Linked DNA regions of Oryzias latipes. The protein of the gene in region 2 interacts with the protein of the main gene of each other region in a pairwise test. Links are inferred from orthologs where the notes say so. Each region holds a gene or a part of one and is shown on either strand. Other genes may lie near its edges.

The links.
Region 1: the proteins of ndufaf3 (region 2) and snrpa interact in binary tests that used the Homo sapiens proteins (3 or more experiments, as listed by UniProt). The two-hybrid records come from large-scale screens. The link is inferred for Oryzias latipes from reciprocal best matches to the Homo sapiens genes NDUFAF3 and SNRPA.
Region 3: the proteins of ndufaf3 (region 2) and ndufaf4 interact in binary tests that used the Homo sapiens proteins (3 or more experiments, as listed by UniProt). The two-hybrid records come from large-scale screens. The link is inferred for Oryzias latipes from reciprocal best matches to the Homo sapiens genes NDUFAF3 and NDUFAF4.

The regions. Positions count from the first base shown.
Region 1 is NC_019871.2:13,955,383-13,965,515, reverse strand, and holds snrpa (U1 small nuclear ribonucleoprotein A), read right to left. Parts: upstream 5,784-10,133; 5' UTR 5,702-5,783; intron 5,455-5,701; 5' UTR 5,447-5,454; coding exon 5,374-5,446; intron 5,259-5,373; coding exon 5,086-5,258; intron 4,740-5,085; coding exon 4,575-4,739; intron 4,330-4,574; coding exon 4,171-4,329; intron 4,074-4,170; coding exon 3,985-4,073; intron 3,895-3,984; coding exon 3,735-3,894; 3' UTR 3,724-3,734; intron 3,639-3,723; 3' UTR 3,489-3,638; downstream 1-3,488. Other genes in the region: c13h19orf54 (UPF0692 protein C19orf54 homolog), read left to right, coding at 6,908-7,089, 7,197-7,265, 7,397-7,521, 7,883-8,012, 8,094-8,164, 8,855-9,195. UniProt on the Homo sapiens protein: Component of the spliceosomal U1 snRNP, which is essential for recognition of the pre-mRNA 5' splice-site and the subsequent assembly of the spliceosome. U1 snRNP is the first snRNP to interact with pre-mRNA.
Region 2 is NC_019863.2:1,712,674-1,722,476, forward strand, and holds ndufaf3 (NADH dehydrogenase [ubiquinone] 1 alpha subcomplex assembly factor 3), read right to left. Parts: upstream 6,539-9,803; 5' UTR 6,436-6,538; intron 5,285-6,435; 5' UTR 5,244-5,284; coding exon 5,118-5,243; intron 5,044-5,117; coding exon 4,977-5,043; intron 4,554-4,976; coding exon 4,453-4,553; intron 4,374-4,452; coding exon 4,266-4,373; 3' UTR 4,021-4,265; downstream 1-4,020. Other genes in the region: rab GDP dissociation inhibitor beta, read left to right, coding at 2,345-2,444, 2,528-2,699, 2,802-2,946, 3,020-3,074, 3,158-3,301; nckipsd (NCK-interacting protein with SH3 domain), read left to right, coding at 7,240-7,410, 8,922-9,034, 9,109-9,322. UniProt on the Homo sapiens protein: Essential factor for the assembly of mitochondrial NADH:ubiquinone oxidoreductase complex (complex I).
Region 3 is NC_019882.2:21,368,181-21,378,148, forward strand, and holds ndufaf4 (NADH dehydrogenase [ubiquinone] 1 alpha subcomplex assembly factor 4), read right to left. Parts: upstream 4,756-9,968; 5' UTR 4,712-4,755; coding exon 4,579-4,711; intron 4,478-4,578; coding exon 4,386-4,477; intron 2,957-4,385; coding exon 2,660-2,956; 3' UTR 1,742-2,659; downstream 1-1,741. UniProt on the Homo sapiens protein: Involved in the assembly of mitochondrial NADH:ubiquinone oxidoreductase complex (complex I). May be involved in cell proliferation and survival of hormone-dependent tumor cells. May be a regulator of breast tumor cell invasion.

The DNA.
Region 1 (10,133 bases), on a different chromosome or scaffold from region 2:
AACGTTTCATAAACCTTTAATGATGAAGCAATTAGATGACAGCGTGGAAGCTGATCATGAAGCCCTGCATGTCTGCAAACACGGAATTAACAGCCCTGTGAAGTGTTTTCTGGTAAAGTTGTGCGCTTGGCGAGGACGGGCGCGCGCGTTCTCACACAGCATGTTCTCCTGTTTGGACTCTCAGTTCATATGATGCAAAAACATGAGAAGGCTTCGGAGACTCATTTGAATATCGGCCAACGTGACATGGAATATTTTCCACAGCTGACCTCAAGCGTCTTTGTTAGAGTCCAGCCTTCCACGCATGAAGTGCCTTCTTTATCAGAGGGCACCTAATGAGATTCTGCCTCCTCCTCCTCCTCCTTAAAGTCCATCTCGGGCTTGTTCTCAAGAGCTTCCCTGACAACCGCTGGTGTTTCCGCGGCTTGGCGCTCAGCCGTGACCCCTGGAGCGGAACAGAGGGCTCTTGAGAAGCGCGGCGCTGATTAGCATAGAGGAGCAGTGACCTCCATCATCAGATGAATTCCGTCCAACCAGAACGGAAACACTCAGCCGCGAGCTGTAAGCGCCGCGTGAAGCGCACCTGATATTCACCTTTAAACTGTGCAACAGCTGGATTCAGAACCGAGCCTCTAAATGAACAGGTGTGCATTTGGCGCCATCTGGCGGCCAAATATTTTACGAGAAGGCTGATCCTTTGTTCCGAAGCCAAAGTCAAGAAATTCAATTTGTTAATCAAATAGAGAGCAGTGGTATAAGACGCAATTCAAAAGTAAATGTGAAGTAACTGCTGTCTAAATACATATCGGTTTAGCAAACTGAAAGTTTAGCTATTTAATTTAGAATGCAAGTTTTTAGGGGAAAAAACTAAGTTTTTACTTTACGTAACTTTAAAGACAAACTTTTTTGTATGCTATCAAACTGCCTGGTTAAACCTAAAGGTGTAAACGGGAATGCAAGTTTAAAAAAAATCTAAAGGAGAAGTAACAGGCATGACTTCTTGCATACCTTCTGTCAGGACCACAAATATTTGGACAGAGACACATTCTTTCTCATTTTGTTTCTATACATTACCACAGTGAATTTTAAATAAAACAACTCAGATGCCATTGAAGTGCAGACTTTCAGCTTTTATTCTATGGGTTGAACAAAAAGATTGCATAAAAATGTGAAAAACTAAAGCATTTTTAAACACAATCCCTTCATTTCATGGGCTTGTAAGTAATTGGACAATTGACTTCCATGCTATTGCATGGGCAGGTGTGGACAATTCCCTTGTTATGTCATTATGAGTGAAGCAGATAAAAGGCCTGGAATTGATTAGAGGACTCGTGCTTGCATTTAGAAGATTTTGCTGTGAACAGACAACATGCGGTCAAAGGAGCTCCCCATGCAGGTGAAAGGAGCCATCATTAAGCTAAGAAAACAGAAAAAAAACATGCAAGAAACTGCTACAGTATTAGGAGTGGCAAAATCAACAGTGTGGCACATCCTGAGAAAGAAAGAAAGCACTTTTGAACTCAGCAACGCAAAAAGACCTGGACGTCCACTGAAGACAACAGTGGTGGATGATCGTAGAATAATTTCCATGGTGAAGAGGAACCCGTTCACAACAGCCAACCAAGTGAACAACATTCACTAGGAGGTAGGCGTATCAATATCCAAGTCTACCATAAAAAGAGGATTGCATGAAAGTAGATACAGAGGGTACACTGCAAGATGCAAGCCGCTCATAAGCCTCAAGAATGGGACGGCTAGATTGGACTTTGCTAAAAAGCATCTAAAAAAAGCCAGCACAGTTCTTCATTGGACAGATGAAACCAAAATACGCCTCTACCAGAATGATGGCAAGAGAAAAGTATGGAGAAGGCGTGGAGAAGCTCCTGATCCAAAGCACACTACATCATCAGTAAAACACTGTGGAGGCAGTGTGATGGTCTGGGGGTGCATGGCTGCTAGTGGCACTTGGACACTAGTGTTTATTGATGATGTGACACAGGACAGAAGCAGCCCAATGAATATCTGAGGTGTTCAGAGACATACTGTCTGCACAGATCCAGGTGAATGCAGCCAAACTGATTGGGCGGCGTTTCATAATGCAGATGGGCAATGACCCAAAACATTCAGCCAAAGCAACTCAAGAGTTTATTAAAACAAAGAAGTGGAAAATTCTTGAATGGCCAAGTCAGTCACCTGATCTTAACCCCATTGAGCAGCATTTCACTTGTTAAAGACTAAACTTCAGACAGAAAGGCCAACAAACAAACAGCAACTGAAAGCCGCTGCAGTAAAGGCCTGGCAGAGCATTCAGGAGAAAACCCAGCATCTGGTGATGTCCAAGACTTCAGGCTGTCATTGCCGACAAAGGGTTTTCAACCAAATAGTAGTAATGACCATTTTGTTTTCAGTTTCATTTGTCCAATTACTTACAAGCCAATGAAATGAAGGGATTGTTTAAAAATGCTTTAGTTTTTCACATTTTTATGCAATCTTTATTTTCAACCCATAGAATTAAAAGCTGAAAGTCTGCACTTCAATGGCATCTGAGTTGTTTTACTTAAAATTCACTGTAGTAATGTACAGAAACTAAATTAGAAAGTCTGTCCAAATATTTATGGTCCTGACTGTAGTTTGAGGACAAATATTCAGGGCCTAGTTAAAGCCCACAGCAGGAACACTGTATGCATTGGAACAGTTGAGGTAAGTCCAAGTTAAGCTCTTTAAACCAAATTCATGGATTCCACCTACAGGTAGAATAGATTGTCCTCACTTATTTATAAAGATTATTCAAGGGCCAAGGTAAAATTTATCATATCCAATATTTTGGTTGAAGAATTTAAATTATTTTCTGTGAAATTGATGTTGCATTCCACAAATTAAAGGCTCTGGACTTCATGTTTGCAGGTAAGTGTGATAACCAGGTAACACCCCACTACAGTTTAAACGAATTGGCAGGAGGTAGAGGTGTACCAATGCATTTTAATAATTCGGCTCAGTTTGTGGTTGCCGACAAGATTCATAGTAGATATGTGTACTTTGAATGATCCTATGACCTAAAATCAATCCAGGACAACTCCATGCATCTCATAATAAATACCAGGGTGCTGTGCAGTGAAAGTGACGTTTACCAGATTACTTGGATTTCTTGCAAGATAATTTAGTGTAAATAAATGTGTACAAAACAAGTAAACAACAATTCATTACTAATAGTTATGGTAAAAAAAAACAAAAAAAAACACGATCATGTCTCAGTTCAACTAGTATTTTCCGAGATCGATTATCATTCATTCATATTATTTTGAAAGGATTTTATAATGCTATAGGTTAATTACGAACTTGCCTCAGATCCGGTTGGATAAATCGATACATTGATTAATTGTTACACCCCTTGCAGGAAGCTGTGTAGGTGCCAGTCTGAGAAGGATGGAGTAAATACAAGTTTTAGATGACCAAAAAAAAATCCATAAACAAGAAATAATGAAAATCAATCAAGTAATCTAATTACTTTAATACAAAACAACAAATACCAAGCTCCAGGTACAATGTCTGACAAGTCAGACACTGGGTGCAATGCTTTCAAACTTTTTAAAACTAAAGTCATGTCAAAGTGACTTAGAAAAAGCATACTTACATGTAATCTGGGAAAAAAACAAATATTTTATTAAAAAAACGCCTTTTACTTCCACCACTTAAAAAGGAAAAAAACAAATTACAAATTTCAACCTGTGTTGGCATTATTTCTTGGCAAATGAGATCTTCATTGCATGAGTCTGTGTGATTTTGAATCCCTGTAGTGAATCTCGTGCAGCTCCAGCCTGAACCTCATTATCAAACTCCACAAAGGCGATGTCATGGCGACCAGGGACCAGACGCACCTCTTTAAAGCCAGGGAACCTAAACGCAGAAAACGGTCACGGTCAGTCTTTGATATGTTGGGCAGAAAAGAAAGTCAAAGCATAAAACAATTATCAAGTCAATACTGACTGGTTAAAGAGCATGGAGAGCATCAGCTCGTTCGTCTCCTCTGGCAGGTTGGTGAGGAAGAGGATGTGATTCGGTGGATTTTCTGCAACCTGTAAGAGAAGGCAAATGTTTGACAAAAAAGAAACAAAACCTGGAATGTTCATCTTTGGTTAAACATGTAAAGAACAGGGGGACAAAAATCATTACCTGCTGAGGCATTTGGCCAGGCATCATCTGACCCATTGCACCTGGGGGGATCTGGCCAGGCGCCATTCCTGGGGGAGGCATCATGCCTGGAGGAGGCATGTAGGCCGGCTGGCCTGGAATATGCATCATACGGGGAGCTTGGCTCATAGGAGGCATTCCCTAGAGAATGACACATTGTAAACATGTTCATGGTCCTCTAAATGTTTGCTAGGTTGATATTATGTTCTGTGGGGTTTTTAAACCAAACTTTTTCTCCATCAATTGCTGTTATTTTAGCTTAAAATCTCCAAACAACCTATCGCTATGGTAAACTTAGCAAGTTTGCAGACAGTATTTTTCCACTTTTAACTTGTCCGAGTAAGAGCTGCCATGTCATTCTGGTCACAGTAAACGTTCCCACTTACAGGCATAGCAGTAGGCACACCAGCCATCATGGCTGCAGCAGCAGCTTTCTTAGCTCCTGTTCCTTCAGGCTTGGGCTTCCTCTTCTCCTTTTTGCGCTCACGTTCCACATAGGTTCCTTTCATTTTTGCTATGATGTCCGAGTCTGTTTTGGAATACTGAATGCGCTGCAGTAAGACACGTTTAAATATGTGGCATTACTATACCAAGTGTGCTTAAAAAAAAGAAAAAATCCATTATACCTACTAGTTATTTAAATGTATTTTTAATAACCATTAAAAAGTGTTCAGTGTTAAGTGTTCAGTGATCCTCTCACACTGAGCACTTCTAAGTTTACAAAGATCAATCCTTCATTTGATGCACACTGTGGAATTGAAACATTTCACAAACTATACAACACATGACAGCAGAGAGGAATATTGAAAACTAAGATTGATTTGAGTTTTAACATTTTACAGGACGATATTTGTAAATTTAAAACCATGGAGGAAATTAAAACAACGTTTAACTTACCATGGGTTTATCATAGAAAGGGAACCCCTGCATGGACCTCAGTGCATTTGAGGCGCTGTTGATCTCTTTGAAGATAACAAAGGCCTGACCCTTCATCTTCAGGGTTCGTGCGACGAGGATGTCCAAAATTTGACCGAATTGCGAGAAGATGGCGTACAGTGACTTCTTCAGTTCTAATAAAGACAGAGGAAAATAAAAAGCTGTGGTGGATCTGAATTAACATCATTTATCACCACATCGTTCTTTCGACCAAAAAAGCAAAGAAAGGCCAGAAGTTAAAAAACTTACCATCTTTCTTAATTTTTTCGTTCAAGTTGTTGATATATATGGTGTGATTGGGTCGTACTTCTGGAGTGGTCATCTTAAAATCTACGAAGAGTTGTTTGGAAAAGAACAAAGCATGTCACATAAAATGAATTGAATGCTATCAACTAGTTAGCAGGCTAACAGCTAGCGCTAGCAAACAACCCTGAATGCATGCAGGCATTACTAGCATAAAGCTTAAAACTCGGTATAAACTGAGACAAATCAGCAATAAATGATTAATTTAATCGAACTATCTGTAACCTTATGACATTTGGTTTTATAAAAGAGAAAAAACACCGGATAACCGCACCTGAGTATCAGTTTTAACAAAAAACCCACCACCGCTCGGCGCGAAAGGAACGCTCACTTCGATGGGTGAATGAAAAACCTGCCTTTACAATTTCCGTATCATCTGCTCGCGATAAATCCAACTTGCACGTGATTTCCGGTCCTTCTCTTTTTTATTGAACATTTGCAGAATATAATACAAAAATGCAACATTTATAACAGTAAAATATAAAGAATACAATTACGTTCTGAATAAATAAAAAAATCTTTTTAACCTTGTAAAAAACTTCTTCTTTCTCTTTCGGCTTTTCCCATCAGGGGTCGCCACAGCGAATCATCGTCCTCCACCTCACTCTAACCTTGTGAAAACTATTAAGAACAAAATTATAAGCAATATCGATTGTTAAAACGAATCTTGTTCAATAATATACAATTAAAGCAATCACAGAGGGAAAAACTAAGTAACAATACAGTAACAGTAAAAATAAATACATAAATAAAACAAGAATAAAAAATAGAAATAAAGCCAGTGTATTTGCGGTCCTTTTCAGTCAATGGTCAAAAACGAAATTTGTTTCAGTATTTGCGTTAGCAAGATATTTTAATCGTCCTATCAGTGTGGTATCGTATCTTGACAGGAAAGATTAAAAGAAAATGTCAAAAATCTGTAAAAGAAAAAGAAAAAAACCCAGAGACACAAGCGAAAAAAACTTCGCTTGTCCTGTTACACACTGACTGTGGATTGACTTGTCACTAACTTTGTGCCTTCAACTTTATTTCCAAATACATTGTACGGTATGTGTGTAAATGGTGTGTTAAACTGTAGATGACTAGTGATGGAATGATCATCATCACTCACTGGAGGGTGGTGTAACAGTTGAGTACAGAGCGATCGCACACACGAAGAAGAGCGAGTATGTCCAAATATGAGCACGGAGCTGCGTTAGCTACTAGCTTGTTAGCTAGTTAAATCGAAAAGTTTGTTTACCACGTGCAAGAATATGTCAAATCTTTTTCGTCCAAAGGTTGACATGTTTAGGTAAACATCGAGCTTTTTAGATTGTGTGCAAACGACTCGAAGTGAAAGGTAAGCAGTTATTGAGCCCCATGTTAGACTTTAATGGTACTTAACTTTCTCCCTGGTGGTTATTAAAGAAATCAATGGAGGTACATTTTTCCCCCCAACAGAGCTGGTTTTGATCAGACAGAGTAGAAAGATTTTGAGACTATGCCGGTGGACTGCAGCTTGTCATCACCTCCTCCACCTCCTCCACTGGCTGCTTGTCCGCCTCCTCCTCCACCAACTTCAGCACCACCGAAGAAACTGTACCAGATCATAGCAAATAACAGCAGCCCTGTAGAGGGGCAATACACCGAGGCGAGGTTACTGCTGAGGCAGAAGGAGAGCAGGTGAGGAGGTTCACTACCAATCCAAAGTATTTATTTGAGTCCTGGATTGTTATTGAAGCTCACATATCTCATTTTTTTTAAACTAATGTATTCCATTTTTCTTTTAGATTCAGGAAAGACCTGCAGTGGATGCTGATGAACACGTATGTGCCTTCCCTCATTCAGGATGGCCCTCAGTAAGTCAGTCAACTGTGCTGTCGGGAATAAATAGCACCAATTTTTAGACTCCAAAGGGGATATCATGTCAGAACGATCTTTGGATTCAAATATTTGGCCAATTGACCGAGTGAGAATGTGAATGTTTCAGGTGTGGGCTTGTGGCCTTGTGGATGGCCGCTCACCTCCAGCAGGACAAGCTGGATTTGGACATGAAGACTTTGGTTCAAACAGCAGTGAACAGTGGATACACTGCTCAGGGGGAAATGTTTTCAGGTAACACTGCACCTTGAAAGAGAAATGAAATTATAAGGTTTAAAAGTTAAAATTCTTTGAGTTAACTTGGATATGAGTGCAGTAATTCAGTTCATAGTGTCTGTAGTAGTTAACTGAATTCTTGCTTGTTTTGTTTTCAGACACAGGTTATGTATGTGTCAAACATAACCCGTGTCTAATAATAAAACAAGGTGTCAGTTAATACATTTAACTTAAACTTATATTGGTTAAATTGTTTCTTAAATATTTACAATTATTTTTTTCTCCACAAGAGCTTACAGTAAAATATTATTACAATGTTTATGTGTAAAGATGTTTTTTTTCTTTTATGTGTTTGGCTGAAGCTCCTTGTTTTCTTCAGCCCACAACATGACGCTGCTGGCAGAAGAGGCTTGTGGTTGTAAGGCTGAACTGCTCACTGGAGGCTTAGATGGGAATAACAGAGAAACCATCATCAGACACCTGTGGAAAGGACAGCCTGTTCTCATCCCGTATCCTGCACATCAGAAAAAGCCACAAGGAACGGTTCATTCTGATTGAGCAGAACATTTCTTGACAACATGCCCCACCAGCTATGATGAGGACTTCAACCATGAACCGTGTCAGCGAAGCGGTCACAGAGCACACTGGGCTGTCATTTCAGGTAAATTAGGTGGTTCGCTTTAGTTTAGTAAAGGAATTGTATAAAAGATCCTCTTAAAATGTTTGCTTTTGCAGGCCTAATGAATATAATTTAGGCGGTAAAAAGGTAAACAGTTAGTACTGTTTCCTTAACAAGCAAGACGTGACTTGCGTGTGTTGAGTCAATCAAAACCTGAAATCTCAAAAACCATGGTTGTCCATCCACCCAAAGATTGCAAGGAGAACTTCTAATTAATGTGGGTGTAATTTTTTTAAAACCCTATCAAGAATGTAGTTTTTGTGCATTTTCAGGATTAAAATAAAACTCTTGTTTTTGCCCCAAGGTAAAGCCACTGTTAGAAAGTACAACATTGCAGAATGATTAAAGATTTCTCCATAAATTTGACTTATACAAAGATAAATTTGTGAAATTCCTCTTTATCCATATGAGCATTTTTGAATAACTCAATAGAACGTCTCACTGATGAGGTGCTGACCAACAAACCTGATGCGTAATGGAAAGCAAGTGTCTTATAGCAGATAGATACGTTTAACAAACCCATTTGCTGCTTTGGTCCTTGTCTTTTTGATGACTGGATTAAACTTGTCTAATCATCATTTTAATCTGGATCCTCTATTGAATCCATTTCCATTCATTTTCTGAAAGCACTGTTAAAAAAATCACCTGTGATGGGAGTTGTTTTGATTTTAGGTGTTCTTGTTGGTTTGGAGCAAGCCAGTTTCAGTCAAGAGCACACTCACCCAGACCCAACGCTGCCGTGGCTCCACCTCGCCACCAGCAGCAGTTCTCCATGTCCTGCTGGCAACCCAGCTCTCAGAGAGGCCTACGTCTTCGCCAAGCAGGGGAAAAGCCTGCGCTACCAGCTGTGGAGCCTAGACTGTGTTATTAAGAGCAATGAGCAGCTAAAGACCATGGACCCTCAGAGGGTCAACGACGGGAGCCGGTATGTCGTTCCTGAAGGAGGGGTGGAAGCTGGTCTGGCTGGACAGGCCGTGTTGCTCCACACACACACTCAAGAGCAGCAAGGGTGATGCTGCAGGAAGATCAACCTCTTATCTTAGCCTGTTCTACTCAAAGGTTCATGTGCAACAGGTCATTTCAGAGGCCTTTTAACGGTGTTCCCCAAAGTGGAAACCTGTAGATTAAAGTATTTTGAAATACATCTTTTACATTTGTTTGGAAATATTTCAAAAAATCCTAGAATTAAAGAAAAACCAAAACCATTTACAGTAAGTTTATTGCAGTTTATGGCTGACAAAAAAAACAATTTCTGCCCAGTCCAAAGTTTTTTGCAAAAGGATAACACCCGACATTTTAAAAATACACAGTTGTTCACATCCACCTCAATCACTGACACCCTGTGTTCATTTTCAAAAAGGTTAACTGTATTGCAAATTAAATGTGTCACTTCAGGATTTTGGAGAATATTCTTTAAAAGAGGAAATATAAAATACTTGACATTTGAAATCAGTCTCTTGTAGGTTTGTGTGATACTGTTGGAAGATCCAGGAATTGCTACAGTTAACCTGCTGACAATACTGTCCAGTATGGGGAAAAAGAAGTCCAGTACCTGCTTTTCTTTGCCATGTGTTCTTTGACTTCAAATAAAACAAAACTGCAAGATCGCTTCTGAATTTTTATAAGACTTGTAAATAGAATTCCAGTTTCACGTGAACCGTCGCATTACTGTGGAACCAATGAGAACATCCGCAGAGAACCGAACGGCAAAGGAAATTCAAAAACTGTAACCACAGCACTTCACTGCTGCCTTCCGACAGAGGCACTGCGTGTTTGTTCGATGGCTTTGTGAAGATCTATAGTGCAATAAAGTCAAAAAACAAAATAAAATATTGCTTTTAACTTGTTCACGGTTCATTTAAAAAGAAAAACAAAAAATCTTCATTGTATGAAATCATACAAAAATAAAACAGTTTCAGGTAAAAGCAAACCTTTGGGACTACATGCTTAT
Region 2 (9,803 bases):
CCAGAACTCTTAGAGAATAATTAACTTATCTTACTCTACAACTACATGTTTAAAGTCCAGCAGATGAGCTTCATCCAGATAGAGTTGGGGGACGGCTGGGGGTGCGAGACGAGCGAGAGGGAGGGTCCACAACCAAATTTAGGAGCAGAGACGATATACACGGTCAGGAGCACGGATGAGTCAACTGGAATCAGGAATCACTCCCACTCTCCCGGAGGGGAGAGGGAATCGCACTGCATAAAACAGAGGCATGGAGAACTGAATGATACATAAATGAATGATCAGGAATAGAGAAGAGAACGAGAGTAGAAGTAGACGAGACTAGAAGAAGGAACCCCAGTGCACCATACGTTCTCCAGCTTCAAACTTCTAGCAGCCAACTAACAACTTTATTGTTATTGTTAAATTTAATTTAAACATGTTAACAGTAAGTTAAATATTCTCTAATTCTAGCTAGTCTGGCAATAAGCCTGTCCAAAGAGGAATGTTTTCAGCCTAACTTTGTATGGGTTACATAACGTTATTCAACCAGAAGACACAGATTTCCTCATTTGTGATTTATGAGAATCATTTCACTTTCACTTCTTGTTCAGTGTAACAACATCGCTAACAGCACCTGCAGAGGCTTTCCTGTTGTAGCTTCAGCAGAAATGTCAACATTCACATTCTGATGAGCTGGAACCAAACCACAACAAAAATATGACCTGAAAAATAAAGCTGAATCACAAAAAGGAAAAACAATGAACTCTTTAAACCCCACTACCTCAGATAATTGACAGAAAATTCTCATTTTTGGTTGATTAAGTTGATTCTCAAACCTGTAGAAGAAATCCACAAAGAAATTTCCAACAATTTTTTTTTTCCGTGCGCGATATAGCTCATTAATTTCGATCCGTTGGGTGATTTGGTAAGTTTTTATTCACAACACTCCAGGGGGAAGAGCTACGGGAGAAGGGTAGGGGGCAGCTGCCCACCCCATACCCCAAAAAACGCTTAGCACCCCCACCTGACTCCAGTTTTTGTGTCAATACTAGTATCATTATTGACAAAGATTAAGAAATCATAGAAACTAGCTTCTTTAAGCATTGCAGCACTCAGCCCTACTTTTAAATGGAATCTTGAGCCCCCCCCCCCCCCCCCCCCCCCTATAATGAATGAATTTTTTTTATCGTTTGACTTGTAATGGCCTTCCAATCTGCGTTTCTCGTGTCACCGTTCTAAAACCCCCCTCCATTAAATATGTTCTAGCTCCGCCACTGCAACTATGTTAGTTCAAACTACAGAAAAAAGGCAGCTTCTTTACCGGCTGTCTCAAATGTGATCTACGAACTTCTAACATGATGTCACTGGATAATTAATAATTAACAACACATGTTGTGCTCTTTCAAAGCAGTAATTAAAAAAAGAATAACAATAGATGAGTTATTCTAACCATAACGTTCTGACAGTTAGCCAAACTTTTCCCGCCAAAAGTGAATGCGTATGAATGCCCCGGCGATGCTCAGAGGAACCATAGGCATGAACTGGCATCGCCGCCTCTACCGTCACCAAGTATACATGAGGAGTGAATGAAGCGCTTAGAGCGTCTGGGAAAGTGCAGATAAATCTAATCCATCATAATTTTTTATTATTTAAAAGTGATTTTGAGATTTAATGGCAGTAGCCATTTTGAAGTTAGTAGGACACAAAGCCCTACTACTGCCCCTAGTGGAATGATGATGAACTGCAGGGCAGAAAACATGGAACAAGTTACATACGAGGCTTTTTTAAAGGAAAGTTTGGATCCTCTAATGAGATCGGGGTCTTAGGAATGTGTGATCAAATATGATACCACTGGTTATAAAGGCTCCAACATTTTTAATCTGTTTACAGTAATTAAAACAAAAGAATTGACATGAACAAAACATTTTAAAAATGAAAAAAACAGAAACATCCAAACTTTTGACCACATATGCTGTCAAGATTTTACTCTTGTTTTATTGTTTCTAAGGTTGTCCTGTTCTGTCTTTTTAACGCGTGTTTTGGTAACCTTTCATCCCGTTCCTTGTTTTAGGTTTTCTTAAAGGTTTTAATGTCCCTTTAGATCAGAGGTGAGCAATTCTGGTCCCCAAGGGCCAAAGTCCAGCAGCTTTAAGATATTTCCCTGTTTCAGCGCACCTGATTTTAATTAACAATCATCCTCCCCACATCACCAAGGTCTGCTGATGACACAGTCATGTTTGTCACGGTTGTGTTGAAGCAAGGAAACACCAAAAACCCGGAAGGACCGGCATTGCCCAGCCCTGCTTTAGATGTAGCTCAGACGATGCCTCCTCTGTAAGCCGCCTGCTTCTTTGTGTTTCAGGCTTAGTGCAGAGTATGGAGGAGCCTTCCTGATGAACAGGACCATAGATGAGATCGTGATGGAGAACGGCAAAGTCAAAGCTGTCAAGTCAGAGGGGAAGGTGAAGTCTCAAAAGAGGTTCTTCTTCTGGTTTTTCTAGTCTCTGTGTGCTCACCAGTTGTGTCCTTTCTCCTCCTTGATCAGGAGTTCCACTGTAAACAGCTCATCTGTGATCCCAGCTATGTCCCCAACAGAGTCAGGAAGATTGGACGCGTCATTAGAGTCATATGTTTGCTGAACCATCCCGTCAAAAACACCCATGATGCCAGCTCCTGTCAAATCATCCTTCCTCAAAGTCAGTTCAACAGGAAGTCAGGTCAGAGGATGAGAGTCATCAAGCTGCGGTTCTTCTGACAACAATCGGATGCCGCTCCTTCTGTCTGCATGGTAGTCTGATCTCCTCTTTGTGTCCATGCAGACATTTACATATCAGTAGTGTCCTACAGCCACAGTGTGGCCTCGGATGGACTGTACATTGCCACCGTGAGCACCACTGCTGAGACCATCACCCCGGAGAAAGAGGTGCAGCCGGGCCTGGAGCTGCTGGAGCCTATCCTGCAAAAGTGTGTCAAATCTGTTATTTTGCTTTTATGTCATTTCCACAACAAAATCTCACCTTAACCCTTTGAATCCTAGATTTGTAACCGTCAATAACCTGCTGGTTCCAAACGAGGATGGCAGAAAGAGCCAGGTACTTCATCAGAACAGAAAATGTGACAGAAATTCAGCAGCTTCCATGCCTGTCGTCGTGTTTGACTTCACTTTCTCCATCAGATTTTTGTTTCCCGCTCATACGACGGAGCCAACCATTTTGAGACAGAGTGCAAGGACATCAAGGACTTGTATCATCGGCTCACCGGGGCTCAGCTCTGCTTCCTGAAGTCTCGACATCAGTCCCATAACTCTGATGACGACTGAGGAACACGTCAATCAGAAGATGAAGCATGTAGTAAGCTGTTTGTGTTGTTCAAAAATCCTTTTTATTAGGTTTCATTTTAATCCTGATCTTTTTGAAAGTCTTCTAAAGGCAACGTTGACAACTGTCAGGAGAAAATGAATATATGTAATCCGTAAAGTCCGGTTGTGAAACCTCCTGATGGGACGTCAGCAAATCTTTTATTGTGTAGTTTTTGTGTTGATCATTCTCTAGTGAAAGACTGAGATATCTGGGCTTTTTCCTCACATTTCTCTGAGCAATAAAACATTTGATGAAACCGACACAAATAGAAAAATGTGTTTTCATTCATCTATTTTTTGTAAAAAAAACAAATTTTGGAATGAAACTTTTGTGAAGATTTCGATCAGATAAAAGGTGTTGCTGTCTCTTCTTAGACCTTCCTTTAGATTTGGATGGAAATTAGGAAAATGCAGAATATTTATTTCAATATTCTGGCACATTCTCCTGAAGGAGGCCATGGTCATTCTTTGCTTTAAGCTTTCTTCAGAATCTGCTGGTGAAAGTGAGCTGAGGGCTTCATGCACTTTCATGCAACATCCCAACGGGCTCTGGACACGAGGAAGATGATTAGAGGTGAAGGGCTGCGATGTGTAGAGGATTTGGGGATTCTCCTCTCTGCGAGGCTTATGTGTGAGAAGGACAAAGCCTCTGAACGATGTCATATGGGAACCGACAAACACACGGGGTAAAGAGGATTTATTCAGATCCAGGACAGTCACCAGCACTTCACCTGCACACATCCTCTATAGACCCTATTTACACATTTGACATCCATACAAACATCTTAGATCAAGTCAAAACAAGAAAGAAAATTGCCACTACAGGAATTTACTGAAAATATGGTGCTTTTGCCACACAAAGAGCTATTTATATGTCAAAGGAAAGTTTTCGTTTCCCTGACTCTCAGCTGAAAACATCCCACTCTCAGGATGGAGGGACCTCCAGAGCCGTGCTGGGAGAAGGAGGAATCAGACCAGCGGCCACCAGCCTCCTCTCACTGGTCAGGAAGTTGAAGGTCGCACAAGCGTTCGGCTGCAAAGAGAGTCCAATTGAAGATGTTTCCTTTGCTCCATTTGTTTGGGGTCAAATCTTTCCGTCGTGTGTTTGTTACCGTGTCCTGCACCTCCACCGCGATGCCTTTACGCTTCAGAAGAGCCAGGACAGACGGGTCGATTCTCTGGAGCTTGGAGCCCGTCCCCAGCACGAGGATCTCTGGATGAACGGGAAAAGAGCCTCATTTATCTGAGTTTCATGGTAGTGGGTGTGTCCTCATGCAGGGTCACGTCTCCTCCAGCTGGGGTGGAGGACTTTGAAAGTGCATTTTAGAATGAGGGTGAATAAATGGGTTTTGTGGCGTCAGAATTGTAATCATGCTCTACTTCAGCAACTTTAGTTCTGCTTTTCCTTACTGTAAACCTAATGCATTTCATTCCATCTTAATACGAAGCTGTTTTGGGTCGTTTTGGGATTCTACAAAGCCTTCTTTGTCAAAATGAAATTAGGTTAAAGAATAATTTGACCATCAAACAGTTCATGTGTGGAGGAAATGATGTTGAAGCCCTGGTTAGTTTGAAGCTTTTCTAACAGCACAACTCCTTCACATCACCATTTCATCCCAGCGTTTTTCATTTGTACCTATTGGAGGCTCGAGCATGTGGAAGAGGGAAATACTGTCTTCTGTGATGTCTTTGTGACTGCCAACCTGCAGAAAGAAGAGCCAACAATTATCTCTCGCCGACATGCAGAGTCTGGATTTGCTGTGGGTTTGGGTCTGACATTCCACTGCAGGATAGCGGGAGGCAGGAGGGCGCAGGGTCCGAACACGCGGTTTCCATCCACGTTGAAGCCCGCTGGGCTGTAGCTGTGGATCAGGATCCCATTGTCTGCTTCCTTCCTCATCATGGACACCGTGGTTCGCTGGTAAAACTCATCATCTCCAGGCTCTAACCGATACGCACGAGACAACAATGGGCTGCACCAAGAAACGACTGAATTAAAAACAAAACTATTGGCTGGAGATGCTTTGGGGTTTATTAAGCACTTCAGATGTTTTAAAGGAATTAAACTGTCGCTAAAGTTGCTAAAACGTTTGATTTGTTTCAAGATAACTAAGCTGAAGAAGATGAAAACAAATACAATTTGAAGGCAGCAAAAGAATGCAATTCCTAGTTTTACCTAAGCCTCTACCTCTTGCTGAGAGCTCTCTGTGTCCACCCTTCCACTAGCTTACAGCCCCGCACAACCCTAACCTAACATCACTAATGCAACAGAAATAACCACCAACATCGGAGCTGTCCAGTCGTTCAGTTTGGATCCAACTCAGATGAGGAAAACAAAGACGTTCGTGGATCTATTTGTCTGCATCAGAATGGAGCAGAGCAGGAAGCTCGTGTCGAACCAATCGCAGCATCTAGACCACAAATATGATCTTTGGGAAACGACACTTTCTTTTGCTCCTGATTCACAACAATTTATAGTAAGAAACGCTCAGTAAAATACTTTTTTAATTTCTTAAAATATGTCCTATACCACAAAAACATGTTAAAGACAAGAAAAACATAATTGTTATCGAAGTGGGTCTTTAAAAGAAAACACACCAACTAGATTTTATATATTCTTTAAAAAAAAAAAAAAAAAAACATCAAGGGGAACCAAGACATTAATTTGAAAGAAAAGTACTAAAATAAATCAGCAAAATCTGTTTGAGATGGACTGAACATATGAAAAAGGTTCACAAATGTTAAAATTGTCACAATGACAACTTATTCTAAACCAATTCTCAAATTTAACAGCATAATGGGCGCTTAAGTTCTCATAACTAAAAAAAAAAGGTTGATTATGAAGCTTTTCTGTTTATTTGTAATGCTCACGAGACTGCTTACTAAATTAATTTAAAAAAAATGAGCAAATTGAAAGAAAAGCCGAAATTAAGCAATCACTATCCCATCCATACCCTTCATCTTGTTTCATCACAACACAAGTTTAAATGTCATTGCCAAATGTTCTCACGTGATCAGAATCTCACAGTCAGAGTTATTTATCTCTAAAGCTTTATATTTATATTATTAAGATTAGTCAGAAACCCCCGTAGTACCTGGAGAAAGCAGGTGCTGCCCTGAAGGACAACAGGAGGCCCTGAGAAGACTTCTGCAGCAGAAACCTGCTGCAAACTGCTGCGGCCATGTCTGAGAGGAGCCGGCGACACACACGGGGGAAGGATTTCAGTGTGACACCACCGTCGGTGTCATGTCTGATGGAGTAACCGGCGACACACACGGGGGAAGGATTTCAGTGTGACACCAGCGTCGGTGTCGAGAACCGCACAATCAAACTCTTCTCACTTTTTCACTAAAAACAAATTCATAAAATAAAACAGTTAAATTAATTCATGTGACGAGTTTTAACCAGTCTGACGGGGAATCAATTTGAGGTTATTTTGTGAATCACAAAAATCCATTAATGTTATTAGTCTGAGAAAAGGGGTGTTCAATGTTGTCCTCAATCTTTGGACAATTTTCAATCTTGAGGTTAATTATAAACATTTTAAACTGTAGATAATGAAAAAAATGAAAGTGCAAAGATAATATGGATAATTAAATCGCCCCTAATACCAGAAATTAGACTCTTTTGCAAAAGTATATCTGGAATATTTTGGAGAGTCGCTCTGATTTTGATTAGCGTGCCTGGTGGGCGTTTCGAGCACAGCGCCCTCTGGTGGCGTGTATTGGTATTAATCGGTCAGGTGACCCCACCGTTGTAAATAGACTTCAGCGAGCCTCTGCAGACATGCCTTTTTAGTCCCTTTAAACCGCCAACAGCACAGCAAACGTTTCCGCTAGGGCTCAGTTTTTCTCCCGCACAGCTTTTCTGCCGCTCGTTGACGGAGCTGTAGGGAATCATGTACCGCTCTCTGTATCCCTTCCGATCCACGGAGCCCAACTCGCTGTACTTCGCGGCCGGAGAGAGCTTTCTCATCCTGGAAAGGAGCAACAAACACTGGTGGCTGGGATCCCGCTGCAGCTCGGGGGAGACCGGATACATCCCCTCTTCGTACATCGAAAAAATACAGGTACGTGTACGCCACAGACCCCGCGGTGCCGGTGAGGACACCGACGAGGCGGTGGGGTTTGACCGCCAGTACGGGGGGGGTGAAGGCGGACCCGGAGATGCAGCAGGCCGTGTCCGAGCCGGCTGGAAAAAACGCGCCGCAAAACAAGGAATTCTGGGAAGTTTGGTTATTTTTGCCACTGCGCAGGTGACACGCTGCCATTCACTTATGTACTTCATTCTACACAATACAATGCAACAAAAAATACATATTTTTGAGTAATAAAAATAAACACCATTTACAGTTTCCTCCCAAAAACGTTATTAACAATCGGCTATTGACAATCGGTCAAGAAAGCCCTACAAATGCTGTGCAGCACATCAGCAATCAAATCAATTCAAACTAATTTTATTTCTAAAGCACCTTTCATGTAAAGAAAACAGCTCATGGTGCTGTACAGAAACACCCACACACCCACACACACACACACACACACACACACACACACGCGCGCACACACACACACACACACACACACACACACACACACACACACACACACACACACACACACACACACACAAACACAAGTAAAAGAGAAATTACAAAAACCAAAAGAAGAAGAAGAAGCAAAAAGCTCAAGAAGAGAGAACCCAGAGAGAAAATCATCAGTCTGGAGGTTTTCATGGTCTTACTAAAAATGCAAAGACAAACATAGAATGACAGTTTCTTGTAGCCGTCATATTTTGCATATGTTCCTATGTCGTGTTAAATGATTTTAAGACCAAATAGAATAAAGTAAAACAAGGTTGTGAATTGGACCATTTACTGTAGTAAATGTAGAATTTCCGCAAAATAAAAAAAACTGTTAAATAGTAAAAATGACGTTTCTGGACATGACATCAAAAATATTCAGATAAATCTGATGTCAAACCTTAAATGAAACTTCTTTTATTGTTTTATTTTTCCTATTTATAAATATTAATTAAAGGTTGCATTTAAAATCCAGTTTTTACTGCAACAAAAATATATTTCTTCAAATTTACGCCTAAATGTCTTAACAGAGTTAGTTTTTTTTCTTTATCTTTGTATTTTGTTTATCTTCCTATGATTGCTTGATTATAATCAACGACGTCAGGAAACGTCCAGAGGTTTTGGGGCCAGACAACAGCTCACCGATGGATCTGGGATCTTTGCCAACAGCATTTCAGAATCAGCCGTCTGTCTCCTCTGAGTCACTCCTCCTGTGTCTGGATGCAGGCGTTGGGTGAACCGGTCCCAGCCCGTTTGTGGAAGACGGGCCTGCTCACACTGGCAGAAGAGGAATGCTCTCCTCTGCCACCATCACAGAGCTTTAACCCCCCACGTTAACATTGAGAGTGGGGTCATCTGGACCCCACAGGACAGCCCAAGGGTTTGAATGACGGTTGCAATGCTGTTCTCATTTCTTTTGGCCAGAAGGCGTTCAAGCCCTTAAATGATGTCCTGATAATTCAGCTCCTTCATCTGCTCCCTCTTCTTCTCCGTCTCAGGCTCCCGAGCAGGATGAGGTGCTGCTGTCCATCGACAGAGCCATTGAGGGAATCCACAACGTGGCCTTGAAAAACGGCGGCAAATACAATCTGGAGCAGCGGGACGTTCTGCAGTGAGTTGAAGGCACGGACGTCACGTGGGGCCGTCGACCTCCGCACAAACGTTGGGTTTTCCTCTGTGTCGCAGGAAGTTGATCCATCACAGGAAGGAGACTCTGGCCCGCAGAACCCCCTCCTCCGCGGGCCACAAACCGGGTCTGCCGTCGTCCAACAGCGAGATTTCGCTCAGCCAGACCCCGCCTCCTCCTCCCAACGGCCTGAAACGGGAGTACGGGCGGCAGGGCAGCATGCCGTTCTCGGGCAGCATGGACAGCATGCAGGGAGAGCAGGGCTTCTACCAGGTAACGTCCTCGTCCGGCCCCCACCCACCTGCAGTTCTGCTGCCCCACCTGTGGGGGGGTTATGGAAAGAAAACCCTACTTTAACCAACACTGAAGTTGAGTCAGGAGAAACGATAACTGTTCCCAAAATACTGAACAATAGATTTTAAATTAAAAGATACATTTTTAAAAATTTTTTTTCAAGTTTTGTTCTTTTTCTTTTAAGAAAAATGTAAATCTTTAGCAGAGATTTGACCCTTTTAACTTTGTGAAGGTTTGTTCAGATTTTTCATGACGTATTGTCCCATTTGTGTGTGTTCTGCTATCTAGAACACACATAGATTGTTTCTATTCCCTTTCTGGATTTATTAAGTACTTTTGGATCGATTTCATCAGGACGGATTCTCTGAATTGCTGCCATTTTTTCCCTTCCTTTTTAGAAGAAAACTCAACAAAAAACTAAATTCAAACTGATTTTGATTTTCATTTCATTCCATTTTTT
Region 3 (9,968 bases), on a different chromosome or scaffold from region 2:
TGTTTGTGACGCCGGCGCGAAACACCGACTTTCACTTCCTGACTGGACTTTCGAAATAAAAGACCCACAACAAGAATTTCATTAGGAAAGCGTTTTTAACGACTTAAAAACTGTACAAAAGTGAAAGTATTTCTGCTGTGGTCACTCTTAGGCTTAATATAAATTAAAGGTGAAAAAAAAATCCCGTAAACATTGCCCACAAAAGTAAAATACTTTGGCCTAAAACAAATCCATCTCACATTTTCTATCAGTTTAGTTACATAATGAAACACTTTGATAGCCTATATTAAAACAGTACAAAAATGAAGAGAAATTTATAGAGAAATAAGAGAAATTTATAGGATAAAGCTTTTGCTATGATGCCTGAAATAAACTGAAGAGTGCAACACTTCGATTGTTCAGACCATAATTAATGTATTTGTGACCAATTTGTGAGAATGCATTGTCCAGACTGGCGTTGGGTTTGTCCTCGCCACCTTTCTTGTGGTGTCCTTTTTCCGCTTATATCCTTTATTAATCCCAGTATTTCTAGGCTTTAAGAAGCCCCCTGGAGCTTTTTGTTGCAGCCTGTTTTGTGTCTAATCCAGGTACACTTGAAAAACAGGAATGTTTATGACCAAAAAATTAAATAAATGTTAAATCAAATTTTAGTAATCATACTTCAGAAACAAAACAGTTTCTCAATCAATGCAATAAATAATAAATAAAACAACTACTTCAATCCGTTCTCTTCACCCCTTCTGTCCAGTTGGTTTAATTCATTGCAAAAGCCTCTTGTTTAATAAGCACTTGCTATACTTTCTCCGTGTAACCTGATGTCCAGTGCCTGCTTTAATAAAAAAAAAAAAAAAACTTTTTTTTTTAAAAATAAACCTGCAGTTAACAATTCAGCTGCCAAAGTAAATGCTCTATAGAAAAAAAGAACAACTAAATGTGAGGAAGTCTCTAATGGCTAAATGAGGGTAACAGTCTTGTCTTCTAAATCACTGTTTTTTTACTGTAATCATAATAAATGCATATATCAAGAGAATTCCGAAAACATATAAAAACAATTGACATTACTGTCAAACTACTGTCCCCTTCTTTTAAATGTTTTACTGTGAAAGCAACGTCCCAAAGCTTCCGCTCACACGTGCCCACTTCCACACTAACTTCACTCTCCTTTGCTCTCGTGAGAACTGACACCCACAGAAGCCAGTGGCTCTGGCAGCAGTGGAGTCTTTCGGGAACATGCGTGTCTGCGCATGCTCCAGTGCACAGGAAGGGCTCATCTGGCGGGAGGAAGGGCTCCTTTTGGGCAAACGAGGATGTTTGCAGAAGATGAAAAATGGAAATGTGGAGACTAAAGAAGCACCTTTTCTATGTATCAGCCGATACTAAATCATCAAAAGTTAATACGAAAGACAAATTAACTGTATTATTGGTGTATATTTACTGACAAACTCCATTCTCTACTTCTGTATTTAATTGACTGTAGACATTTTCCAAGTCTGGGAATTTGATTCCCAGGAAAAACCAACACCCTCTGCCATATTTGTGCCTTACATGAGTTGCCATTCTTTCCATTTGTTTCTTGTTTACCAGCAGGTCTCTGTTTCCAGTTTTGCTCTCGAATTTGGGATTTTTTTTAGGGAAAACTGTAACTCAGGAACACACGTGCTTTTGTTGAGTGCTCCCTCCAGAATCTGTTGAACCCTGGTTATAAGTTCATCTCAGCAAATGACTCAAACAGCAAAAAAGCCCCACATGGATACTTCTTTTATTTTGAAAAATTGCATGAATGCGATGGACACCTCCACATCTGTAAATTCACTCCCAGTGTTTCAATTTGTAGTTGCCTTCTCCTTCACGTCTGAACATATCTTCCTGCTGCGTGAACATCCTGATGCACCAAAGCTGCACATGGATGAGACCCAGGATCCCCGATTTTTGTCGAGCAAATTTATCAGCCACTTCAGGAAAAATGTACCAGCGTGAAGTTTATGGAGTTTCTGCAGCTGTTTTTCAGCAGAACCTCTGCTCCAGCGAGCTTGTAGAAGATGGGCAATGGTTCATTTGAAAGTCAATCACCTCTGTGGGACTACAGATCTCACCTTCAGGACAAGAGTGGAATTGCTTCAACAACGTTCTTTCGACATAATACAACTAAAGCAGCAGCAGCGGTTTGAGAAAGATCAACTGCTGCAGAAAAGAGTCCTGAAGTTACACTCCAAAGCTACACATACAGAGTCGTCCGCTCACTTTCACACTGAGACTGGGTCCAAAATGACCCGTCCAGCCTGAAACCGGACTCAGTGGAGACCGGACAGGAGCAGAAGTTTCTCTGAACAGTCAGGTGGACGGAAATACTCATCAACGGACAAGACACGATGACATGAAAAGGCCTGAAGAAGAAAAATAAAACAGCAGAAAATTCCCGTGGAGCTGCATCAATGAGGCCTAATCTGGATGTATCTGAAGGCTTTTTTCATGCCGATCTGAGTTTAAACTGGTTTATTTCTGAATATGAGGAACCAGTAGAATTACAGAGGAAGAGCAGAGATCTGAGCTTAATGGCTGAACTCTCTAGACATCGTTCAAGTATTCCAGAAAATCACTTTTTACACCAAACACTGAGTGACATAAATAAATGAGGTCAAAGTTCCTCCTCCACTGCCTCCTAAGACGCCTTGATCTGATTGGCAGTTCGGGTTTTGGGCGGTATGATCTCGACCTTGAAGGGGACAAAAAACTCCAGAGCAGCTTTAGTGTCCTTAAAGTCCAGAAAATACTCCTGCGCTATCTTTTCAGGCGTCCACGTCTGAGGCTGGTGCTGGTGACTGCCGAGGGCCTTGACGGCTTCTGCGATGGTCAGCTTGCCTTTGGGGACGTTGGTGAGGCCGTACGCGTATCCTGGGATGTGGACTCGCGTGGGCCTCCTCTCGGATTGCAGAGCCTCAGGAGCTTCCTTCAACGCCTGCGGGGGAAAAACAAGGCTGGCTGAATTTCGCAGGGCATCTGCAGTCCCCCATAGCCTCGGGACACAGACCCAAACACTCCTGGTAGGACAGCAAATAAGGTAAAAAACTTTTTCTGTGATTATTGTCATTGATCTTTTCTCCCCCTCACGTCACAGCAGGATGGAACCTGGATATGTAAAGATGCTGCTTGGTCATAATTTCCACAGGTCTGTGCAGGAATCTAAACATCCTTCACATCTGATGGCGCATGCTCTCCTTCTTTCACACTGGCAGACTGCCCCCTGGTGGAGGCTGTGGGTGATGAGGACTAAATGCTGCCAGCAGAATCCACAAAGCCCAAATCCAATGAAAATTGTGTTTTTTAAACCATATTCTTGCAGCATTTCTCTCTTGGTGGAAGACATATATAAAAAATATTCAGATCAAAAGTATGTTTCTTAGTATCAAATCGTTGCTGATCCGGAACAAAAAAAAAAACACCATTTGAAAAGGCTGTCAGTTATGACAAAGCAACTGAAAGGGGCGGGGGCAAAGTCTCCAGTCTCTGCTCCATTCTGATCTGTCAGACAAATCGATCCATGTACGTCTCTGTTTTCCTTCTCTGAGCTGGCATCTAAACTGTACAGCTGGATAGCTCTGATATTGCTCACCATTTTTGTTGTACCACTAATGTTAGGTTGGGGTTGTGAGGGGCTGTAAGCTAGTGGGAAAAAGTGTAAACATGGGATATCGGCAGAGGCTTACTTCCGCACAGACAATCCCGCCTACAACTTATTAGTCAGTTTCTGATGAACTTTGTTCTTGAAAATGACATTTTGGCTTTAAAAAAAGCATAATCAGGATTAAAGGACCACCGGGAACACTGACGGAGTGGGACTCTAAACACCTTCTTTACTACAGTTCCCATCTAAAATATGCATAACTTTCACTGAGATGAAGTGTTACAGTTCATCAAACCCCTTTGTGTTTCTGGAGGATTTCTGTTTCTTCATTCTCTCTTCCTGCCAACACTGGTGAACATTTTTATCAGCAGCCTTTTGCTCTGTTAACTTGACATTTGAGTGTGAGTGTTGGGTTCAATTGAAGCGATGGTCCATCCATTGTCTTCCTCTTCTCCTGGCTTTGGGATTTGGGTGCAGCAGACTCAGAGAGGAAGCTCAGACCTCCTGAGACATTTCCAGGTCAGCTGGGAGCAGAAATGTCTTCGGGGTTCTGGTTCTGTTGTGGGCCTCCTCGAGGTGTACCGCTGGAATTCAACCGTCTCAGGTGGAATCTCGCGATACGGAGTAGTCGCAGGTCTGCCCAAGTATCCACGTAAATTTGTGAGCTTTAAAGGTTTAAAAAATATTTCATACGGAAAACACTAAACTGACTCATCTAAACCATCCTAAACCGTTCAGAACCAACAGAACCGGACGCTCTGACCTCTGCTGTGGCAGCCGGGTCTGTGGACTCCACGTACACGGACCGGAGGAGTTCGTGGAGCGGCTCGTTCTTCTGTCGAACCGACTCAGAGACTGGAAGGAGAGCAGAGAGGTGAACGGCTCCTCCATCATCATGACCCCGAAGGGAAAAGAGACACACATGACATGCGGCAGAGAAAGCTGGGCCCACTCACCGTCCGAACCGGGAAGAGGCGGCTCTGGAACCGCGTGTCGGGGCGCCGCCGTGGGCTTCTCCTTAGAAAGTTCTCTAAAGACTCGGTTTTCCAGGTTAAAGTTTCGGAACAACCGGGCGATCCGACCTCCCATGTTGGATAACTTCTCCCTGACAATTGTCAATAAAGTTTATTCAAACTGGAAGTTCTACTTAGAGTTGGAGGGAAAACGACAGCGCCACCTTCCGGTTGGGTGACTTTGTTTTCAATTCTCACCCCAACAAGAATCAGGAATAAGTTTTAAAGACAAGTCATGTATTATAGATTCATTACGCACAGCATGTTATATTTTATGTTTTATGTTTTTTTTATTATATTTTATGTGTTTTGAATTCATATGTTGACAGAAATAATCCTCCAACTCAGCATGGAATAAAATATTCTATCGAGTTAACAAAAAGAGATTTTAACAGAAATGTTGGCCCCCTAAAATAAAGGCACTCCTCACATAAGAAGACCCTGATTGATTTGGTTTATTTGAGGCTATTTCAGCAATAAAAGAAAATAAAAAAGAGAACAAAACAAAAAAGGAAATACATCTAATATTTTTAAGGTTGAAATGATTTATTATCTTCTAAGAAAAGAATAATAAATGATGCCATCTTCTTGACTTTATAATTTTTTCTAATAGTACAAACACACAATGCACATTAAATCCATTAATTATAATGGCTGACACATAGTTTGATTAATTAATTGAATGGAAGAAGGAATAAATAAAGTATATAAATAGACCCCTGGAATAATGGCAATCGTTTATTAAAGCATGGAGAAAATCAGTCTGTGGCCAAGCAGAGATAACAGCTTTGGCCTTCTTCAGTGTTTTTGCATTTTTAACTCCAGTGTCTGGTATCCCCCCAGTCAACCAGTTTCAGGGATACAACAACCTTCAATCAAGAGCCGGTGCTTAAAGTAGCTAGAAAATGAACTAAGGATCACTGTGAACAAGGTCACAGCGATGCACAGGTCTTGATTTCCTCAGATAAGACACCTGTGAAATAGGGTCAGGTTTGACCCCTTCAAACCTGGATTATTTCCAATTACATGAAAACTTTTTCGTCAGTGTTTTTTCTGTTCAAGATGATGTTAAATGTTAAAACGGTATGTTGCAAATGATCAACATATGACATAAAAGGGGGTTTAGGTTGGCTTGACACCATGAATGCATCAGATGAAGTTCATGTTGTGGAACAGCCAATGTTTCTTGAAAGTCCGACTCCTGCAGCAGTCCTTACAGGTGTTGGCTGTGCTTTACAAACCTATGAAGACTGTGGTTATTTCAGTTGCTCGGGAATCATTTTAACCACATTTTTTCCCCCTATCTATAACCTTTTTAAGCATGTGCTTGAATGCAACAGTCTTAACAGCTAAGTTATTTCGAAATATCCTTTTTTGTTGTCCTCATCTTTTTGGAGGCTTATAATAATGGGTTGTCAAATCTGTAGTCATCGGACTATAGATTTGACTTGACTTGTTACTGTTTTAGTCTAAAAAAATATCTGTATTTAATACAAAATGCTTGAGAACAACAGCTAATCATCTATGCGTGTGTGTTTAAAAGGAAGGGATAAGACTTAAACCAACATAAAGCCAGCAGCACTGGAAGGTTTCATTTATTGGATGAAGGTCAGAGAACAAAACAACAAGAAAAGCTGGCCTCTGTAAGAGGAAGGGCTTTCTGCAAAGAATGATGGATGTCAATAAAAGATCAATATCAGATGATTCCGAGTAACTTCTGAGCTCTGCATCAGTTGGTGTGCATTGGAATAACAAAAACAAAAAAAAACATAGCTGTCTCCCAAAGCAGAGTTTTTATTCCAACAATGAAAAGTGCAACAGTGGTGCCTGATGCTTCATGAAGCTTTGGCGCAATCTCAATAAAAACTTGAGGCCCACCCAGCGTAGTTTTTACAGAACAAAATAATTATTTTTCAACTGCTCCAGATTCACAATGATTTGAATAAGAACATACCCAGAAACACAATTTTTCACCTAATTTTCTTTCTCCTCTTAAGACCCAAGCAAATATTTAAGCCGACCCTCTAAACATGTAGTCACAGGAGTCTAGTTAAGCAGAATTAACTACTGTGGTAGTATAACCTAAAATGTGATGTCCACGCTGATGCCACGTCCTAAGAGGTTTCTTCATCAGAGAAATGCCACAAGAACACATTAAAACACCAAGAACACAATTTTCATCTGAGTGGGTTTTTACAGTAATGTTTAGAATAAGCAACAAGTTAGCCTTTAAAGAAAAGCTCTAAGACGGGCTGATCATCAACATTAACCATGAATTTAAGACTCAACTGTTGTGTCTTCAGTGATGTAAAGTATCAGTGTCCAGAACCAGTCTCAGAGACCTTTTCATGTGATGAAAATTATGAATGCACACCTATGTATAGTCATTTTATTCATGGACAATATAAAAAGAGACAAAAAATATATACATATTCATCTTGCTTTAACATATTAACATTTGTGATTGTCTCCGTGATCTACAGAACAGACACCATCAGATGAGGTGATGGGGTTTCAGTGGCTGAACTTTAGACACTGAGGTCCCTGTAAACTATTCTCCAGAAAGTTTTAATGTAAACCATGATCTGGCTTTACCTCAACTCACTGCCAAGGATCATTTGTGTTATCCTGGACAAGCACTAAATTTGAGGATTTGAGCAAAAAAAGGCCACTCTTCCAAGGACAAGTTGAGATTTAAATGGCGTATGCCTCTTCTTTCACACTTTGTCTCCCTCAGACTGCTAAGACAAACAATATTGGTGTTTGCCTTCTGCATGAAAAGACCCCAAACTGGGTGAAAAAACAAAATACTTTGTTAGAATTTGTGGGATTAAGTATTTCAAACTTCCTTTTAAAAACATTTTTATTTTATTTAATCTGAATTAAAAACATGAAGTTCAAAATTCAGCCTTGAAAGTAAAGATGAAATTTGTATTTTTAAAATGTAATTCCCAAATGTAATTCCCAAATTGAATGTAGGTCACTGGGAAAGGATGCGAAAAGGAGATTGTATGGGGTGTGGTGGTGCCTGCAGCGTTATATGGGGCTGAAACATGGAGTCTGAAAGTGGCGGAAAAGAGGAAGCTGAATGTAGTTGAGATGAGATGTTTGAGGAGTATGTGTGGTGTGACGCGTATGGATCGTGTGAGAAATGAAGTTATCCGAGAGACAACTGGTGTGATGCGAGAGTTGGCTGATAGAGCAGAGCAAAAGGCATTGGGATGGTTTGGACATGTTGAAAGAATGGAAAGGGAGCGATTGGTGAAAAAGGTATCATCTGATGTGAGTGGAGTGAGAATGAGAGGAAGACCGCGAATGGGATGGACAGGGGGTGTAAAAAGAGCGTTGAATGCAAGAGGGATGACTGTGGTGGAGGGGAGAGCGGCTGCTCAGGACAGGGATGGGTGGAGAGAGTTTGTGTATGAATGAATGGATGGGTGTGGTAGAGGTCTGGTCTTGGGATGAAGCGGCAAGGGGAAGCCAGCCTCGGCTGAGGCCCTGCTGTGGAGGTGCCCACACTGGGCTGTGCAGCTGACCCTGGTGCAGTGTGGTGTGGCTTAGACCAGGCCTTAGACCAGTCTCACACCCACACACGCACACACTGAAGGAGGAGGGTTTGGGGAAGAGAAGGAGGGAGGTAAGAATGTGTGCCCTGTCTAGGCTAACCCACTTTGTTTGGACACAGCCTGGGTATATAGATAGATAAATAGAATTCCCAATACAAGAAGCAGACATCAACTCAAAGCATGACAGCTGGTCTCATTGGTGCTGAGGTTTCATTCAATTCTTTCAGATCCACATCATGTCTGAACATCGACTGTCTCAGAGAACTAAACCAGTAAATACCTTACCCCCCAACTCCAACCCAATCAAGTCAATCCAGGCACCGTTTTTCCCAATATGGACAAATCCATGTTGGAGCCAATATTTGTCAAATGTGTAACGTTGTACGTGGGGGCCAGCGGACACATACTTTTGAGGCATCTGATTTGTCACTTATAACTTCAATGACTGGATCTACAGAAAAAAGTACCACAAAAAAAATAGGATTATCAAGAACATGTTTTTTGAAAAAAAGGTATTAAGACCAAGAAAGGTCATTCTGAACAATAAAATAGTCAACAATAACAGCTGTTTATTTCACTATAAAAGTCTACGGGATTTTGGCTTTTTGGAGCCAGTAGGTACTTCCTGTTTGGAACGCCGGGGGAGGGGAAGGTCACTCAGTCCAGTTCTCATATACAGTAAATACTTCTGACACAAAAATGACCCAATTTTTTTGTTTTCTTAGCAAAAAACAAGCAAGCCATCTTTAGAAAATTGAAATAAACAACTTAACCAGCTCTTTCTGGTCATAACTCAAGTTAGACCCAAAAAAACATTTTTACAAACACAATAATGATCAAAGCTGCAAGTAAACCCAAAGACTGAAAGACAAGCTGCAATCTCATGACGGATGAGAAGCCTTTTCCTTAGGAAAAAGTCCCTATACTTCATGCTTTTGATTTTACTTTTTCATTGTCAAAAATATTACAGAAAAATCAGTTTTTTCTGTAGAAACATATTCAAAGCTCTGTGGTAAAAAATCTAAGAAAAGAAAAAGCAGCTTGGTCTTAAATGCTGTCACTTCCCTCATGGATGAACACTGCAAAAAGAAGGCCCTTAAAAATAAGTCCAAAATAAATAAGCAAAACATCTGCTAAGGAAAATGGTCTTTTATTTTAAGAAAAAAACATTTTAGTCACTAAGACGTATTTTCTCTGAGATCATTTTGCAATTGAAAATCTTTCTTTATAAGATTATTTTTCTTGCAAAACAGGAAATAAGACACATTTCCTTGAAACAAGTATTTTTAGTTTTTTAAGTAGGGATGGGTTGATATTTTATTCGCCGATACCGATAAACGATATTTCCCCTGCAGCTGTGGCTGACAGCCGATATTTGCCAATACTGATATAAAGGTGTCAGGAATAACCCAAAGTTTAGATTTCCTTCTTGTTTTTCTTATTACAAATGCACTTTTCTTTTGCTATACAATCACATTGTACTGGAACTTTTTGAAATACAAAAAGGGATCACATAGGAACAAGTATCTCTTTAAAACTTTGCCAGTGCTTGGGATCCATGAGGAACAAGTATCCATCTCAAAAATAAAAATGTATCTGAAAATATAGATTTTTTTAATATCAGACGGATAACGCTAAACTGAAATTATGCAAATATCTGCAGATACCGATACTGGCACAAATATGTCGTCATCCCTATTTTTAAGTTTCAGTTTTTGCAGTGCGTCCTGTTTACTTCAACATGTGTTTTGAACAGTGGCCATACCG